2 linked regions of the Rattus norvegicus genome follow. The protein of the gene in region 2 interacts with the protein of the main gene of each other region in a pairwise test. Links are inferred from orthologs where the notes say so. Each region holds a gene or a part of one and is shown on either strand. Other genes may lie near its edges. The genes, in order: Wtap and Wt1.

What was found.
Region 1: the proteins of Wt1 (region 2) and Wtap interact in binary tests that used the Homo sapiens proteins (3 or more experiments, as listed by UniProt). The link is inferred for Rattus norvegicus from reciprocal best matches to the Homo sapiens genes WT1 and WTAP.

Annotation. Positions count from the first base shown.
Region 1 is NC_086019.1:50,069,543-50,074,011, reverse strand, and holds the start of Wtap (pre-mRNA-splicing regulator WTAP), read right to left. Parts: upstream 3,040-4,469; 5' UTR 2,855-3,039; intron 2,755-2,854; exon of another isoform or gene 2,621-2,754; intron 2,579-2,620; exon of another isoform or gene 2,272-2,578; intron 1-2,271. UniProt on the Homo sapiens protein: Associated component of the WMM complex, a complex that mediates N6-methyladenosine (m6A) methylation of RNAs, a modification that plays a role in the efficiency of mRNA splicing and RNA processing.
Region 2 is NC_086021.1:112,020,288-112,024,889, reverse strand, and holds the start of Wt1 (Wilms tumor protein homolog), read right to left. Parts: upstream 2,882-4,602; 5' UTR 2,867-2,881; coding exon 2,428-2,866; intron 2,420-2,427; exon of another isoform or gene 1-2,419. UniProt on the Homo sapiens protein: Transcription factor that plays an important role in cellular development and cell survival. Recognizes and binds to the DNA sequence 5'-GCG(T/G)GGGCG-3'. Regulates the expression of numerous target genes, including EPO.

The sequences.
Region 1 (4,469 bases), on a different chromosome or scaffold from region 2:
CAGAGGCTGGAGAGTTTCAAGTTCTACAACAAGGAAGTTGCAGGCCAGCCAGGGCTACAGAGAGACAGACCATCTTTAAAAACAAAACAAAACAAAACAAAACAAAACAAAAAAAAGGCAAAACAGAAAACCTCAAACACGAATAATTTGGCAAACTTCCAACAGGTTAAAAGATGACGGGCTTTTAAATTACACAAAGGGGGAAGGAGCAGCTGGAGAGATGGCTCAGAAGTTAATACTGACTGCTCCTTCAGAGGACCTGGATTCGATTACCAGCAGCCACACTGTAGCTCATAACAATTCTAACTCCAGACGTACGACAAAACACCTATAACTTTAAACTTATTTGTGTAGACAGTTCAGAGAATTCATCTCAGTTTAGAATGCCATCCACTCTTAAAGCCTAGCTTAGGCTGTGGAACTGCTTTAGTTGACTAAGTGCCTACCATCCCAGATCATAACACTATGATCCTAAGTTAGGCAACTTAGTACTCTCTGGAGAAAGGCAACCACACGCCAAGGTAAGTTATGCAAGAAGGCATGTATATGGCTCGCTGAAATAAATCACAGTGGATGTTAAGAAATGGCATCGTCTGGCAGTGCTGGAGCCTCAGCACTGCAGGAGTAAGGGGACTTGTTAGAAATCAGAACACTATTTCAGTCTCCTGTTTATGTGATCAAGTCACTTAATTCTTTGGGCTTCAGTTTCCACATCAGTGTTGCTTAGGGCACAAAGTACTGCAGGTCTGTTATTGGTACCATAAAAACACTATACAAACAAGGACTGCCTGAACACAATCAACACAGGAAATAAACTCTACCAACTTCATCTTTAAAGCAAAGAACACTGAATCTTGTCTGATGGAAATGCCTAACACCTAACACCAATAGCTTATTCAATGATGGGAATACTGGAAAAAAAAAAACTTCCCAAGCTTAATGAAAAGAAATAGGAAGTATTTAGAGGAAGAAAGTGGGAGATAAAAACAAGAATGCATATCAAGTAAAACTTCTAAAGAGCATGATAAATTTAACTACACCTTACACCAATTATCTAGGCGGCTAACAATATTTTCAAGAGTCTACATTATATACACAAAAAGACAGGAGGGACCTTGAAAATGGTAATGCTCTGTCCAAATACATCAAATGGCTATTACAAACCATAATTTAAGTAGTGTTCAAACACACTCATCTGTTTAAGAATGAAGAACTAAAGCACCCTCAGAAACACATCTGCCCAAATCCTTAAAATTCAGTTCCAACACATCAGAAGCCATCCTGTAGACTGCAACTTTCCCCAACTTGCCTGAGCAATAGTTGCTGAATGAATGAAACCTAGCCACCTCAAAAAATGTCTGTTTTTAATAGTTTCAGATGCCTACATATTTACCTATGAGAAAACCTGGTGCATGGTTTTAAAATTAAGTACTTTTAAAAATTTTTTGTAAATGTTTTGCATGTATGTATGTGCATCACGTGCATGCCTGGTGCCACCCACAGAGGTCAGAAGAGGGAAGTCAAAATTCCCAGGAACATGAGTTAAGGATGGCCACGAGCCATCAATTGGGTGCTGGACGAGCAAAAAGTACTCTTAACTCCTGGGCCAACTCTCCAGCTCCGATGCTCAAATAAATAAGTTAAAGTGAAAAACAAATAGAATTTGTAGTAACTGATTTGTGACTTCCACTTATCTTTCCAAATAATAAAATTAACTAAATGAAAAAAGCGAGGCTATAGTGAGAACGACAAAAAAGGCATAAATACAATTTACGACTATAACATGCTCACCGATCCTTACAACCAGTGTGCAGTGTCTTAGTCCTTTGGGGTCAAATTAACTGACTTCCTCATTATCAAACCAAGAACTGTGGGCTCGGGGATTAGATGAATGGCAGAATGCTGGCCTAATAACATGCATGCACAAGGCCTAGCGTTCCATCCCTAGCCGCCCCCGCCCTCCCCAATAAGAAAATATGTACACAAACAGAAAAACTTAGGTCTTTTCTCACTGTGCACTGTCTTATGAAAATCAAGTTTAAATATAGTCAAATCAGCCTTACAGAGATCCAAAACTAGACTAAAAGTTCACGAAAAATTTCAGGAAGCTGTCAAAAAAATTAACTACTCTCACAATGCATACTTATGTAAAAATGGAAGTCCACATGAGAACGTGGCTGCAATGACAAGCTACTGCGTGACGTGAAATTCCTTTTTTTTTTTTTTTAAAGAACCGAATGCATCACTTGGGTCATACAGAACTATCGGTACCTCTAGGTCCCGGGTGACGAACCCTGGAAGGTGGGAGGGGGCGACAGAGGCGGGGAAAGGACAGGCATGGCCAGTCAGCCCCGAGAGGGCGGCCTCCGGCCTCCCCGCCTCCCCAGTCGCGGGAACGCCCGCCTTGTCCCCTGCCGTCAGGAACGGGAGCAGAATGGCTGTGAAACGGTGCAAGTATCCCCACGAGCAGCAAACCGCTCTGACTAACGGGAAGCCAGCGCGGCCGCAAGCCCGGTCGCCCTTCGGGCCTGGAGTGCGTTTCGCCGGGTCCAGGGCGGCCGCGCCTCGCTTCCCGTCCCTGCAGGCCCTCGTGGCCATTCCCGCCGCGGGCCGCACCTACCTTCCCAGCCCGAGGCTGCGCGGGCGCCGCCAGTCACACAGGCCGAGGCCGCGCCGCCGCCGGCCCCCCCCCGCACTCCTCCCGCCGCAGCCCCGGAGATAGCCTTTATTTGCGGGTCTCGCAGCCACAAAATGGCGCTGAGGGAGGAAACCAGGCCCCGCCGTCGGCCCCGCCCCGCCTCGAGTGCGCCCCGCCCCGAGTGCGCCGCCGATACCCCGCCCGTGGCCCACTCACCCGAGACGCGCCTCTCGGGCGCCGCCTCGGTCACCGTGCCCGGTGCCTCCGGCCAGAAGAGACGAGGCGAGGCCGGCCCGCTCGGGGTCTCGGGGCGCGGAGGGGCAAGCGGCTCTCCGCAGCCGCACCGAGACCGTCCGCGGAGGTTCGCACCTGCCCCGTGGGGGCTCTGCAAGCTTAGCCGGGATGGGGAGGGAAGCGGCCGGAGAGAAGGGCGGGCCCGCGAGGTCAGAGGTCACCCGCGAGGCATCACGGGACGGCGGCCGCTGCCGGACACGCTCGGCGGGGCCACCTGCGGCTGCAGCACGGCCTGGGCGGAGGAATCCGAGCCGACGAGCGCGTGATTGGCTCTTCGCTGCAGGCCGCATAGCACAGGATGCTTCCGCTCGCGCTGCCGGAACGCGGAGACAGCAGCTTCACGCCTAAGCGCCCCTCGTCCTAAGTTTGGGGGCCTTAGAAGCCGCCGCTTTCCCTGCGGCCGCCGGCTTTGCTCCTTGTGGCGTCTCTGGGCTTAAGTTGAGGTGCAAGGAAGCTGCGCCTGTGGGACGTTCCAGGGCAGATCGCACACCAGAATCCCGGAGAAGGCAGCAGAGTGAGGATTCTGGAGTCCGAGAAATCACTCCAGTAAGACAGTCGCCTGGATTACAGCAAGAACGGCGTTAGTCTGCAGTCTCTTCAGCACTTCCCAGATGGGACAGTCATATTTAGGTTTAGTCGGTTTTATGAGAGCAGTTAATCCCCAGCGAAGGTGTCCTGGCTGAGATCACTTATAAGTACACAATTACAGTAGAGACCAGATGACCAGAGGAGCCATGGTGTTCCACTTAGGCTAAGAGAAAAAAAGGTCTTGGAAAACTAAAGAAAATGGGAAAAGACATGAACAGATGATTCACAGAGAAGATGTCCTTAAATATATCGTAGGAGGAGGATCAACTTTGTTTATAATGGAAATACACATTGAAATCCTGTATCCTGGTAGGGATGCAGTCATTAATAGTTAATGTGTTACTTTGGAATTACTACTGGGCTGAGTGAATAAAGCAATGTGTAGAAATACATATACACATATATGTAGGCACATACTGGGAAGACAGAAGGATATTGCAGAAACTTAATACTTACTCAAAAAGTGGTAATGGCTATAGGAGATAAAGGTAGAAGCAAGGCTTCTCTGAGTTCAAAATTTATGAAGACAAAAGGTAAAAACCCTTCAAAGTCAAGTAAATTGAAACGAACCAATTGACTCTTAAGCAGTTTGGCAGTGGAACTGAGACATAGACAAAGAATATATATAGCTACAGTGTTTTGAGTTTCACACTCTGGCACTGTGCCTGTGGATACCTAAGAATCACTCAGTTTCACTAAGTGATTTGTAATTATAACATTGTTGCTGTGGTTTTGAAGTTATGTTTATTGTAGTACAAACATTTCAATGTTACTTTCTCCAAAGATTTCTAGTGTAAAAGAAAATAAGATACAGGGCTGGAGAGATGGCTCAGCGTTAAGAGCACTGGATGCTCTTCCAGAGGTCCTGAGTTCAATTCCCAGCAACCACATGGTGGCTCACAGCCATCTGTAATGGGCTCTGATGCCCTCTTCTGGTGTGTCTGAAGAC
Region 2 (4,602 bases):
TTGCTAAATTAATCTTTACAAGATTATGATGTCAGCTATATAAGAAATGGCTGTGTGTGTGAATGTCCTTAAGAAACGGAGGAAGGAAGGAAGGAAAGTGTCACAGTTGCTCTCCCAGGCTTGCCAACAGGTAACCAGAGATAGCTTGAATTCCTCTGACAGCCGAGTCTGGAGCAAGCTGGTGGCCATGTTCACACTTTCCAGGGACAGAAGACAACTTCTCCTAAGCAAAAGCTCCAAACTATATCCTACATTGCTGAAAGGATCCATAGGAACTCCTAAAATAAAGGAATGAATATTCAAAGAACTTCGGGTCTTGAGGGTCCCTCCTAGTTGCCTTGGGGGATGGGGTGGGTAAGCAGCTCCATGCTCACCACTTCAGATCCCAGGAGGCAAGGGAACCCACAGGGGCCACCTGCATGACCCACTCCTTTTAACTAGGAAAGAAAAAGCCAAGTTTCCTGACGGGAACCTGCTTCCAGGGTATGTCCCTGCACGGAAGACATCTCCCCATTGGCCTTCTCTTGGTTTGAGAAGAGCTGGTGTGGTGGGAAGCTTTCGCCAGTTCTCATTTTCCAAGCTTTCTCGCTTCTGTAGTAGCCTGACCTGTCTACTCCAGAAGAATCTGGATGCCCACCCCTAACACCTCAAGTGCACTGGCAATGCCCTCCCGATTTAAATTCTCAGCCCCACCCACCTTCAACAATGGGTTTCTTCTACTAGACGCGCAGCACAGAGTGCTAAGCCTCACAGGGAGCCTAGAAAGTCTCAAAAAGATAGTGGTCCATTAGAATTTGCTGGCCAGGGGGGTTATAGGTCTGTGAGAGCCTCTCCAAATAACAGGCATGCTCACTCTCGACATACACATGCTTGACAGTGGCTCCTTTTCTGATCCAGGGAGGTGTGGTCGGATTGTATGTTCTGTATTTACACTCTGGTCAGATTTCCTCCTGTTTGGCCTATAACTTCTGGCCTAACCCAAACTCCTGGCTGTCCATCTCAGTTCTCCTCTTGGAGGCGAGCAAAGTGACCTGGAGGTTTGCCAAAGGTAACACCTACCTACTAGAAAGTGATGGCAAGATCCAAGAGCTTCTGCGAAGGCACCAAGTTCTTCCCCCAACATCTCTAGTTCAAAACTCTAGTTTCATTTACCAAAGACCTAAAATGGACCCCCAGTCCGCTCCAATTTTCTCCTCAAGTCCCTGTTCTTCAGTGGTTTCGGTTTCACTAGGGCTTCGGGTGGTCGAGCGGCTCCAGGCTGGGTTCAAAAGGCCCTGGAGAGACCTTGGGCACCTTCTGCATCTTCCCCTAAGGGTGCGGGCTCTCCTTCCCCCTTTCCCACACATTTCAAAAACACCCAGATCAAGGACATCAGAATTTTTGGCCCAAGAAAAGCATGTGTCAGAAAAGGTTTTCCTAAAACATCCACTCAAACGAAATTCGATTCTCAACAGCAAAGAAATCAAATGAGAACAAACGAAGAAAGCGACAGCGGCTTAGGAACCATGGTTCCACCAGGGTGCTAACGAAAGAGAGGTGTAGGGGCTCCTGTGAGAATTAAAAATTAGACTCGTATATTAACTGAAGATCCGCCAATACACTTGTTCTTGTTTCTACATCCAAAGCCTTATGAAATCATTCCCCAGCCTAACTTCGGTGTACGTGACTAGGAAACACCCAAGGAGCAGTGAAAGGAAGAAGGCCACCTTTTCACAGTCTCGCACCAGAGATTTGATTCCATATGGGTTGGAGACCGACCGGCCAGGATGGTTTTCCCATCCCCGCGGCCTCCGAACTACCGAACTCCAGTTCGATCCAGGAGATCAACAGTGCTACCTCTTCCGCAAGGTACACGCGAATACAGACTAGGTTCCCCAAAGTTTTAATCCTTCATTCCAAAGCTCTCTGCTGCTCATGGTGGGCCTGGAATGAGCCAGAGCCTATGGAGAACTGGAAGATCTTCAGGTCAGCTCTTCGGGCTTGTCACAGGGCGTTTCTAAACGCCAGTCCCACTCGGAATGCTCTACTTAGTCCGTCTACACTAGTCGTCTTAAAAGCCAACGCCTGGTGAGGCCTTATGCACCAGATTCCCCCCACTCCCGTGTGGAGTCACGCGCTACAATCAATCCACTCTTCCTCCTCCGGTGGAGTCCCGAAACCTCTAAGACACCCAGGGGTCCCAGATGTCCTCCCGGGTCCTGCGAACTATCTGGGGTCGTGCTCAGCAGTGTGTAAGTGGTGGTGATGGTGCGGTGTCGCTAGCATTTGACAGAGCCCACTCCCCTCTGCCCGCTACTTTCAGACTCCGTTGGAAGGCAGCTGGATAGGAACTGGCATCAAGAAGGAAGAGAGGAGGGGAGGAGCGGCTTGGGGCCAAGTCGCGGAGCTACTACCGCGCGTGGAGGTCGTGCTGCGCGGAATCCTTACCTTGGTTGCGGATGGAGGGCTGGCTCTCCAGGCAGCTGGGCAGGTAGGGCGCATTGGGGAACATCCTGGCCTGGCCGGATGACGCCTGGCTGGGCGGGGGAGGACCGAAGGGTCCGTAGCGACAGGCCCCGGCTGTACCGGTGAACTGGCCGGAGAAGTGCAAGGTGAAGGCGCTCAGGCACTGCTCCTCGTGCGGCTCGGCGCCGCCCCAGCTGGGCTCCTGTTTGATGAAGGAGTGGGGTGGCGGCGGAGGTGGCGGCGGAGCGGGAGGAGGCGCGGGACCGCCCAGTGACCCGTAAGCCGAGGCGCCCGGAGGCGCGAAGTCCAGCACCGGCGCCCATTGCGCCGCGCCGCTCACAGGGAGCCCACAGCCGCCTCCACCGCCCAGCGAGGACACGGCGGGCAGCAGCGCGTTCAGGTCCCGCACGTCGGAACCCATGGGGTGCGGTTCGGATGCGGACGGCTCTCCGCTCCTGCGATCCTGCGGACTCTCGACGCTAGACTTGGCCCAGGTGCTGCGCGGGCCTGGGTCCCCAGGCTGCTCCGGCTGCTGAACACACCCGGGCTCCCGGCGGAGCGTGTGCTGAGACGCCGGCTCCGGGACACACGTGGAAGCCGGCTCCTGCGACAGGAGGAAGTCCAGGATCGCGGCGAGGAGGCGGCGGGCCCGGATTCCTGGGCTGCCGTCCTCTCTCAGGGTGGGTGGGTGAATGACTAGGTGGGAGGGAGGGCGGGAAAGGGAAAGGGGGAGCGGGCAGGCGGTCGGGTTGCGGGAGAGCCCCGGGTGTGGGCGCTGCCTTGAACTCCTTACCCCAGCTGCCTGGCTGCCCCCAGCTTCCCAAAGCTCAAATAAGAGGGGCAGGCAGCAGGGAAGGAGGAGGAGCCAGGATGCTCGGCCGCTCCATTCACACAGCAGCCTTAGCTCAGCAAAGCGCGCTGCTCGTCCGGGTTACTCGCCTCTGGGGTGTGGGGCGGGCCCGAGGGAGCGTTCTTCTCGGAGACACCCTCCTCTTTGGCCCGCCACGTGCTCTCAGCTGGCCTGTATGGCAAGCCTCCCCCTGCTTCCCCTGCTAGCCTTGAGTGTAGGCGCCTTGAGGCAAGGCCCTCTAGGTAAGTAGTGAGTCCCCTCGGCGTCGGACGGCGGTGAGAGAAGAGTCCGGGTTGTTAATCAGAGAGGGTGGGGTGGAGGGAGGAGCAGGTGGGCTCCAAGAGGGCGGGAACCAGAGAGCCCAGAGAACTCTCCTAGGTTCTGAGGCAGATAGCCTAACTTTGAGGCTTATCTCCCCCTATGTTCCGAACTCTAGAGCCTAACCGTGGGGTCACTTTCGGAGGTTGGTCCCTCCGGGTTCATAGGTTGAGATTCAAGGTGAAATTGTTCGGGACCGGTAATTATGAAGTCTGACGTCAGTTGTGACAAACGGGACCGTTTGGGTTATCTGGAGGTTGGTTCTTTGGTATGGTTGGAACCCAGAGGGTGGTTGCTGCCTACAGTATAGACAACACTTACTGGCCTTTTTTGGCAAGGAATATTTAAACCCTATGTTAACTTGGGAAAATTGCAGCTGTTTTGGGGAGTACCCTGGGAGGGGGGCGCCTAGCAGAAATGTCCAGAACCAACTTTGGCGCCTTGTTGAGAAGAAACGGGAACGGAGAAGCAAAGCTGCTTCACCAAGCACGGCTTCCTCTAGTGATGAGGGAATGAGAATGGACCTGCGGTGATTGATCAGGAGATGCAAACCAGTTAGGCTAACCTAGAAGTGCGCCGAGAAGATGCTCCATTGCCTTTGGCTAGAGGCTTGTTCTCGCTGCTAGCCCAAGGAGTTCCCAGAGAGTGGCTTCTCAAAACCAGTTCCTCCCTCCACCTTGTAGCTGTTTGAGAATCCCTCGTCTTAGAACAGGTGTTTGGGGATTGGTTTGTGTTGGTTTGGGTTTCCTAAAGCAGTGGAATCCAGGGAGAAAAGAACCAGTAGGCAAGTAGTGCCTTTCGCAGCGCAGACTCGGGGACTCTTGGAGGCAGCAGAGACTGCGCAGCCTGGGACTGTCAGGCGCTCAGGCCGGGAAGCCGCGGCTTGCACCCGGATTCGGAATCGGGCTCCAAGCTTCCCAATTAAACCTGCGGGAAACAACAGCCAAGGATGTTGGCTGAACACGAAGAAACTTAGCGTTTCAATGGTC